Callithrix jacchus: one gene and its partner. The protein of the gene in region 1 interacts with the protein of each later gene in a pairwise test. Links are inferred from orthologs where the notes say so. Each region holds a gene or a part of one and is shown in the gene's direction. Other genes may lie near its edges.

Region 1 (4,484 bases):
GCCAGGGATGTTTCTAAACACTCTACAATGCTCAGGACACCCTGACCCCTGGCTAAAAAAAAAGAAAAAGAAGCATCAGAACCCAAAATGTCAATAGTACAGAGGTTGAGAAACCCTGATCTAAACAGGGCATGTGGAAACGTATTTCACAGGATGTAATCACAAGCTCTATATACACATATATCTTGTGGTCATGTTATAGACATACAGTCTGCACATACACATATCTAGAATGTACTATGTACTTACATATGTATTATTATTATAGAATGTACCTAGAGTAGCATCCTGTCATCTATGCATTGATTGTGTCTGTCAATATCTACATACAAAAGTCAGTCTGACATACTGCAGAGAATGCTTAGTCTCAGAAAGTTAGTATTATCTCTATATACATAATTCTGTTTCATCCTCACAACTGCATGAAGTTATGATATCATGCCAACTTTATGCAATGACTAGTTGAAGACTGCACAAATGCTGATGTAGGTCGACTTCACAATATGGAAAGGAACTACGTTTATCTTATACGCCAACGCATCCCAAGGGTGTCCAAACTCTCAGTAAACATTTGTGAAGTGACAGGGTGGGGAGGAGGACCCAGAACTCCAGCACTGTGCTCGTAACCAGCAAATCGCTATCTTTTCTCTTTTTTTCTTTTTCGAGATGGAGTTTTGCTCTTGTTGCCCAAGCCGGAGTGCACTATCTCGGCTCACTGCAACCTCCGCCTCCCAGGTTCAAGCGATCTCCTGTCTCAGTCTCCCCAGTAGCTGGGATTACAGACGCCCACCACCAAGCCTGGCTAAATTTTTTGTATTTTTAGTAGAGACTGGGTTTTACCACGTTGGCCAGGCTGGTCTCCAACTGCTGACCTGAAGTGATTCGCCCAGCTAAGCCTGCCAAAGTGCTGAGATTACACGCGCGAGCCACCGCGCCCGACCAGATCGCTGTCTAAATGGCGACCGAGTCTCCACTCCCTATGGCTCCTTAGAAGCCACTTCACCTCTTTGAACCTCACTGTACTTATCTGTAAAGTGGGACAGAAACAAAACCACCCTTACTAGTGTTAGAGGGAGGAGTCAAACACAACAAAAGGGGCAAAGTTCTGCATAGCAGACAGCGTGGACAATTCGGAGACCTCGCGGAGCCGGGGATCCCGCGCCGTCAGACGAGGTGGGTTGAGGACGAGGCCTCTCGGGCAGGCAGAGGTTAACTCGGGGCTGGGCGAAAACTTGCCGCTCAGCCTAAGCGCGAGACCCCAGCCACAGCAATCGCCAAGACTTCCTGCTCCAACCTCCTCGAGATCCCGTCCGGAAGGACACCAGGCTGACCCCCTGCCGCGCGGCCCAATCGTTGTGCGCGGTGATGCGCGCATGCGTAACCCACGGTCAGCGACGGCGGCCGGGAGGCGGAAGTGGAAGTTGTTGTGGCTCTGTGAGCTCTGCGAGGAGCTGCTGCTGCTGAGGCGGCGGCGGCGCTGCCGGCTCCTGGGTGTTCCGCCCCTCGTCTCGCCTCCCAGCCTTTCCTGAGCCAGCCGGGGACCCGCGCCGGCCAGCGCCTGCCCTATGAGTGTGTCACTTGTTGTCATCCGATTGGAGCTCGCGGAACACTCGCCCGTCCCTGCCGGCTTCGGCTTCAGCGCCGCGGGTGAGTCCCGTGGCCTCGCGGCCTTCCCTGTAATCGGGTCTGGGCCCAGGGGGCTTTCCCTCGCAAAGCACTGTCCCGGAAAAAGCCCGTGGCGAGGGCTCTTGCCTCCGGAAGAAGCGGAGAGGTGGTCGGGATTCCTCTTTTTCCATCTGCCCTTGAGAGGCCTTCCCGTGTGTCATCTCAGGGAAGCGCTGCCCCGAACCACCCTCCCAGTGCCTTCTGCGGGCGTTCTGTCTATACCTGGCGCGTCTCCCTCTCGAGAGAGTCGAGTGGTATGTTTATTTCACTTGCTTCCCTCTAGGCTTCGTAGAGGCAGCGACTGGGTCCCCAGCAACTCTGGGAGGTCCTTGGTTTAATTAAATTGTTCCCTTTTGGAAGTATATCCATTGAGGTGCCCCCTAACCACAGTAATAACTAAATTTGGACACTTCGTATATCCCAGCACTGTGCTAAGCACCTTTTGTGCATTTTATTTAATTATCTTTGCAACAGCCCTATGAGGTAAATGGGTGTGGCGTGTGTCTCTTACACATTGGGAAACTGAAGCTTAGTGATTAAATGATTTGCCCAAGGTTATCTGTAGTGAGTGAAACTGGGATTCTAACTCAGTGAGCTGGACTTGAGTCTGAGGTTTTCACACCAGTAGCATAGCTCCTTAGTGGGGAATGCAGCTTTGGCTCTTTTCCTTGGTCCTCAGATAATTACCTAATAATAACATTCATTCAAGAAATTCTTGGCCAGGCGCGGTGGATCACCTGAGGTCGGGAGTTCGAGACCAGCCTGGCCAACACATGGTGAAACCCTGAGTATATTAAAAATACAAAAATTAGCTGGACATGGTGGCAGATGCCTGTAATCCCAGCTACCAGGGAGGCTGAGGTAGGAGAATTGCTTGAACCCAGGAGGCGGAGGTTGCAAAGAGCCGAGATAGTGCCGCTGCACTCTAACCTGGGAGACAAGAGAGAAACTCTTTTAAAAAAAAAAAAAAAAGGGCCGGGTGAGGTGGCTCACACCTGTAATCCCAGCACTTTGGGAGGCCAAGGCAGGCGGATCACTTGAGGTCAGGAGTTCAAGACCAGCCTGACGAACACGGAGAAACCCCGCCTCTACTAAAAATACAGAATTAGCCGGATGGAGAAACCCCGCCTCTACTAAAAATACAGAATTAGCTGGACATGGTGGTGCATATCTGTAATCCCAGCTATTCCAGGTGCTGAGGCAGGAAGATTGCTTGAACCTGGGAGGCAGAGGTTGCGGTGAGCTGAGTTTGTGCCATTGCACTCCAGCTTGGGCGACAAGAGTGAAACTCCATCTCCAAAAAAATAAAAATAAAATAACTTATTTCATGCTCACATCTGCTGGAGCTTTCCTGATATGCTGAATCAGACAGGGTCTCTGCTTTAATGGCACCAACAGTTTCTTGAAGGAAACATGAATTAAGTGCAGAGTAAGTGTAGAATTACAACTGTGGTAAGTGCTATGAAGGAAAGAAGGAACAGTTTGGAAAGCTATTACAAGAAGATGTGTTTGGTTTGGAGAGAGGGACGGGGGCAGGTAGGTATGATGTCATTGGAAACTTCCTGGGTATGTGACCTTTGGAGCTGCAAATGAAAATTGAATATGATTTAACAGCTTATGAGCATCTTTCCAAAGGCTTAAGTGGTTTCTGAGTTCTGAAAGTCAGCTAAATTGATATTAGCCACATACAGACATCTGCATGGGTCAGTCATATAGCCATTTATTCATCAGATATTTAAGAGAGCTTCCTCTATGTGCTGGGCATTGTGGTGTAAGTGCTGGGAATACAGTGATAGGCAAAACAGACATAGTCCCTTCCCTGACAGAGCATATATTAGGGACTCTCTTTTAGAGTCAATTTGCTTTAAAGTCCATGATTTTGGGCCTGGCACAGTGGCTCACATCTTTAATCCCAGCACTATGGGAGGCTGAGGAGGTCGGATTACTTGAGGCCAGGAGTTCCAGACCATCCTGGCCAACATGGTGAAGCCCCATCGCTACTAAAAATACAAAAATTAGCCAGGCGTGGTGGTGCATGCCTGTAGTCCCAGCTACTCGGGAGGCTGAGGCAGGAAAATCGCTTGAACCCAGGAGGAGGAGGTTGCAGTGAGCCAAGATCACACCCCTGGATGACAGAGTGAGACTGTCTCAAAAAATTAAAGTGCATGATTTCAGTAGAACAGCCTGCATTTCTGAGTATATTTTCCTGGCTACTTATTGACTGTTTCCACAGTGGTCCCAGAGGTGAGTGAGATGGATACTACAAAGGCTTCTTATCATCTTGGTGGAAGGCAGTAGAAAGAAAAGGGAAACCTAATAATGGATGAATAGAGAATAAAGAGGAGCTTGTTTTATTACTTAGTATTAATCATTTATGTGTTCTTTAGCAGGGGAAATGTCTGATGAGGAGATCAAAAAGACAACACTAGCTTCAGCTGTAGCCTGTTTAGAAGGGAAGTCACCAGGTGAGAAAGCAGCAATTATCCATCAGCATCTCGGCCGTCGAGAAATGACAGATGTGATCATTGAGACAATGAAGTCCATCCCAGGTATGCTTTCTAAAACCCTGGACTGTCTTTTGTAACATGAACCCTGGTTGCCTATTTTATACATGGTGTTTGATAAGCCTACGATTTTAACATCTAGCATAACTTTTTCACTGCCTGTTTGCTTTATATGACATCGTTAAGCCACATTTTAGTGGAGACTGGGTCTCTGTTGCCCAGGCTAGAGTGCAGTGGTGCAATGTTGTTTCCCTGCATCCTCCGCCTCCTGGACTCAAGCAGTCTTCCCGCCTCAGCCTCCCAAGTAGCTGGGAT
Region 2 (4,405 bases), on another chromosome or scaffold:
CTTATTCAGGCTGAAGTGTAAATAGTCCAAAGTAGGCCCTACAAGTTACTTTTCCCTGGGGCAGTTTAACTTGTTCCTTGGAACAGGTCTTTCAGCTATTGAGGCCGTAGGCTCAAGCTAAAGAGACAGCTGAAAGTCGGAGAACTGGAGTCTAGTTCTAGCTTTGTCACTAATTTGGTGTGTGGCCTTGGGCAAGTCCCTTTTCTCTGGGTTTCATTTTTCCAATCTGTGAAATGAAGACAAATACCCTTGACTAACAGAGCTGGTAAGAGTATCAATAGAGAGACTGTGAAAGCGCTGGATAAGTTACTTATTGTAATAGATCTGTGAGGACTAAAAAGAATATAACTAACTAGAGCTTTGAGAAGCGGACCATGGAGAAGGTGTGGGGATAAAAGGGAATCTGGGAACAGTGTGGGAGGATCCTGCCAATTGAGAAGAGGTTTTACTGTTTGGGGGAGGAAGGAAAGAGGCACTTCACGCCCCAGGAAGTTTCCTACATCTCCAGAGTTAGGGTAGGGACTGCGGATTTACTCTATCTAATGCTAATCGCATGTTTTGGAAGAGGGTTCAAATTCTTCAGAGGAAAACATGTTTTGGAAGAGGGTTCAAATTCTTCAGAGGAAAACAAATCCCATTTCTGAGGGCGTTTCCGATCTCCCAGGTTGGGCCTGGGACTTGAAGCATCTGATTTGGGGAGCCTTATGTTTGTGTTGGGGGCGGAGGTTCGTTGTTTTGTTTTGTTTTGTTTGAGATGGGGGTATTGCTCTGTAGCCCAGGCTGGAGTGTAGTGGTGCAATCACGGCTCACTGGCAGCCTCAATTTCTGTGCTCAAGCGATCCTCCTACCTCAGCCTCTCTAGTAGCTGGGGCCACAGGAGCACGCCACCAAGCCCAGCTAATATTTTGTATTTTTGGTAGAGACGGGGTTTCGCCATGTTTTTAAGGCTGGTCTCGAACTTCTGGCCTTAAGCGATCCGCCAGTTTTGGTCTCCCAAACTGTTGGGATTACAGGCGTGAGCCACCGCGCCCGGCCCTGGGGGAAGTTCTTAAACACTCCCAAATCTGTATGGGTTTGTATCTCAATGCTTTTCCCTCCCTCTGCCCCCACAGTTTGTCCCATGTGGGTGTTGTGTCTTGCCCACTGTGAAAGGGAATGAGGGGAGGTGGGGGAAATCTCAGATCCCCCAGCAGGGAAGTTCTTAGTCGTTCTGTGGGTGCCCCTCCCTTCTCCATAGATCTCTTGTCCCCTAGAATGAGTTTCCTGTATTCCCGCCTGACTCACCCGCAGTTGCTTCCTCTCCAGTCTCGGAGTCCCTCAGGGTTACTCAGGGCAACTCCATAGCAACTACTTTTGTCGCCACTATCCCGCAGGCGCCGTAAGAACTGACGCTATGCTTACCGGGACCTGTAGTTTGTCAGAGGCGGAGCTTCAAGGCCGCGGGTGGCGCTGGGATTTGTAGTTTTCTTTGCTTTCAAATCCAGGCCGGGGTCCGGAAGCGGTGATACCCCTTCTCTTTCCCAGTGGCCCTCAAACTTCCTTTCCCCGGGTCTTCAAGCGTGCCCCGCGTAAGACAACTGCCGACAGAGGCCAATCAGAGGGCAGCACGAGGGGGCGGAGCCATAGTTTAAACTAATTGTGCGCTCACAGCGCTGGCCAGAGCCCGGGATAAGGTACGATTAGTGGGAATCGCAAGGCGGAGCGGGAGCGTGCAGCCAGGTAACCGGCGCGGGCCCGCGTCTGGCATGCGGCCTGCGCACCGGGGTGCTGGAGAGGCCGGTGTGAGCGGAAGGCCTCCTCCGTAACCGAGTCCGAAAGGGCACAATTTGGGGGTAAGGTTTGTTAGGAGAGCCGCCTGTCTGAGGGGGAGGAGCCGGGGGGGGTGCCATAAAGGGGAGGGTCTGTTTGGGGGCGTGTCTGTGAAATTAAGTCTGAGGGCGACGGGGGTCGGGGTTTGGGGGTAGGGTAGTGCCTGAAAGGCTTGTAAGCGAGGGGTCGGGTCCTGGAAAGTCTTCAGCGTTTATCGTTATCAATAGCAGTAGTTATGGTAGTGCAGTAGTCAGCATTTTTCTGAGCTACACTGTCCACAATGACCTCCCAATGGTTTTTCAATCCTCTAAGCACCTGTTATACTTTAAAGATGGGGAGGCCGAGGTTTTTAATGTTTAGCTTGGCCAGGGTTACGTAGCCAATGCGAGGTTGGCTCTACTTGGGGTTTTGCCAGTTGGGCATAAATGAAGACGGGGAAGGTGCTTTGTGGGGGTGCGCATTGTCTTGGGCTGGTCGGTGTATTTTGAGCCTCACTTTTCATATATGTAAACTTACCTACTTCCTGGGGTAGTTATCCTGGTCAAAAGAGGTAGGTCTTTTTATTTTTTATTTTATGGGCTTGTTTTGTTTTGGTATTTTGTTTTATTCACAGATAACATGTTTCATACACTCACCTCGGAGGGTACAAATTTATGATTATAAGTGATGTGACTGTGTGAAGATTGTGGGTTGATGCTCCCGCCTCTGGGTACTCTCTTTTGCTTACCTCTGAGTTAGCACTTGTCATCTGGTATTTTAAGAGTCTCTGCGTGTTTGTCTGCCCTTCTAGATAATGAGAGACTTTTTCGTCACTGTATCCTAATGGCTAAGGCAGGATTTGCGACATGTAATGGGCATTAATGTTTGCTTTGGAATAATGTGTTTTCCTGGACTGAAAGGGCACAGGAACTTTGCTTTCCCATTTTCTTTTTTTTTTTTTGAGACGGAGTTTCGCTAGGCTGGAGTGCAATGGCGCAATCTCGGCTCACTGCAACCTCCGCCTCCTGGGTTCAGGCAATTCTCCTGCCTCAGCCTCCGGAGTAGCTGGGATTACAGGCACGCGCCACCACGCCCAGCTAATTTTTGTATTTTTAGTAGAGACAATGTTTCACCATGTTGACCAGGATGGTCTCGATCTCTTGACCTCGTGATCCACCCGCCTCGGCCTCCCAAAGTGCTGGGATTACAGGCGTGAGCCACGGCGCCCGGCCCCCATTTTCATTTAGTGGCATTTGAACCTAAGTATTAAGCTGTCCTCTTTCCTGGAATGTCACTCCCTCTTGAAAACGTGATGATATTTTCTTGCCTTAATACATACCTCCCTCTCTCTAGTATCTGTTCGCTGGTTCTATGTTTCCAAACTTCTGGGTTGTCTGGTCGTTAAAGCTTTAATAGTAAGGGAGTTGGGCCTGTCTACTTTGTGGAGATCTTTACTGCTGTGAATATATGGGAACCGGGGGTGAGCATGAAAATCATGTAAAGGAGCTTTCAGTCAGCACGGATGGGTGTATGTTTCCTCTCTCCCTCTGCTTCTGTGTGGTATTTTCTCTTTTAGAAGAAGCACACACGTTGTGAAAGCTTCCGAAGTACTCTTTTCTTGGCCTAAGTTCAAGCAGTGATGACTAATTGTAATGCCTAATCTTAGTTCAAAGCAAAAAACTGTGCACCCCAAAAGCTTAAAGATCTTACCTGAAAGCTCATTAGGGAACATAGAATTCTTTTTTACATGTGGAATATGGAAGCGGGAAGAATGCCTTGAAATAAGACTTGAATTCTCGAACTGTTAGGATGAGGGCAAAGCCCTCCTTAGGTGGCTAAACAGAGCTGATCAGGGGCTGTTTGGACAGCTGTGTCTAATTGATAAAATTATGATCAGAAGATATAGGTTGGTGCAAAAGTAATTGCTGTTATTGCCATTGAAAGGGTGTGGTCATTTAATTCAGCCTCTAACCCACTAAACGTATGAAAAGGTGTTGCCCAGACTCAAAATGAGGACTTTCTAGAATGAGACCATTCCCAAAGTCAATCCATCTCGATGTTGAGCAATTCTATAATTACTACTTGTGCTCGCCTCGGCAGCACATATACTAAAATTGGAATGATACGGAGAAGTTAGCATGGCGCCTGCGAAAGGATAACACGCAAATTCGTGAAGCATTCCATATTTTTTTATTAAAAAAATAATTATTATTATTACTTTGTATCTGGGCATGGTGGCTGGCTATGTCATCCCATCTACTCTGGAGGCTGAGGCAGGAGGAGCAGGCGGAAGGATTGCTTGAGGCCAGGAGTTCCTGGCTAGCTTGGGCAATATAGTGAGACTCCATCTCAATTAAAATGTGTGTTGTTTTACATTGTTAGTGATTATTTTGTTTCACCCATATATGTCTACTGTTTGTCCAGTTTTCCTTGCATTTTATTCCTTCCTTTCTTATTATAGATACATACATCCTTCACATGTTTGCTTAGGTGGGAATCTGTTAGTGGTAAACACTGTCTTCATTTAAAAAATCTTTATTTCACCTTCAGTCTTGATTGATAGTTTAGCTGTGTATTAGGCTTCCAATTATTGTCTCTTAACACTTTGAAAGTGTTA

Evidence for each region.
Region 2: the proteins of BRAP (region 1) and NUMA1 interact in a two-hybrid assay, tested with the Homo sapiens proteins (2 studies listed by BioGRID and IntAct). The link is inferred for Callithrix jacchus from reciprocal best matches to the Homo sapiens genes BRAP and NUMA1.

Annotation. Positions count from the first base shown.
Region 1 is NC_133510.1:114,545,792-114,550,275, reverse strand, and holds the start of BRAP (BRCA1-associated protein), read left to right. Parts: upstream 1-1,420; 5' UTR 1,421-1,565; coding exon 1,566-1,647; exon of another isoform or gene 1,648-1,919; intron 1,920-4,052; coding exon 4,053-4,214; intron 4,215-4,484. UniProt on the Homo sapiens protein: Negatively regulates MAP kinase activation by limiting the formation of Raf/MEK complexes probably by inactivation of the KSR1 scaffold protein.
Region 2 is NC_133511.1:68,865,581-68,869,985, forward strand, and holds the start of NUMA1 (nuclear mitotic apparatus protein 1), read left to right. Parts: upstream 1-1,470; 5' UTR 1,471-1,673; exon of another isoform or gene 1,674-1,861; intron 1,862-2,222; exon of another isoform or gene 2,223-4,405. UniProt on the Homo sapiens protein: Microtubule (MT)-binding protein that plays a role in the formation and maintenance of the spindle poles and the alignement and the segregation of chromosomes during mitotic cell division.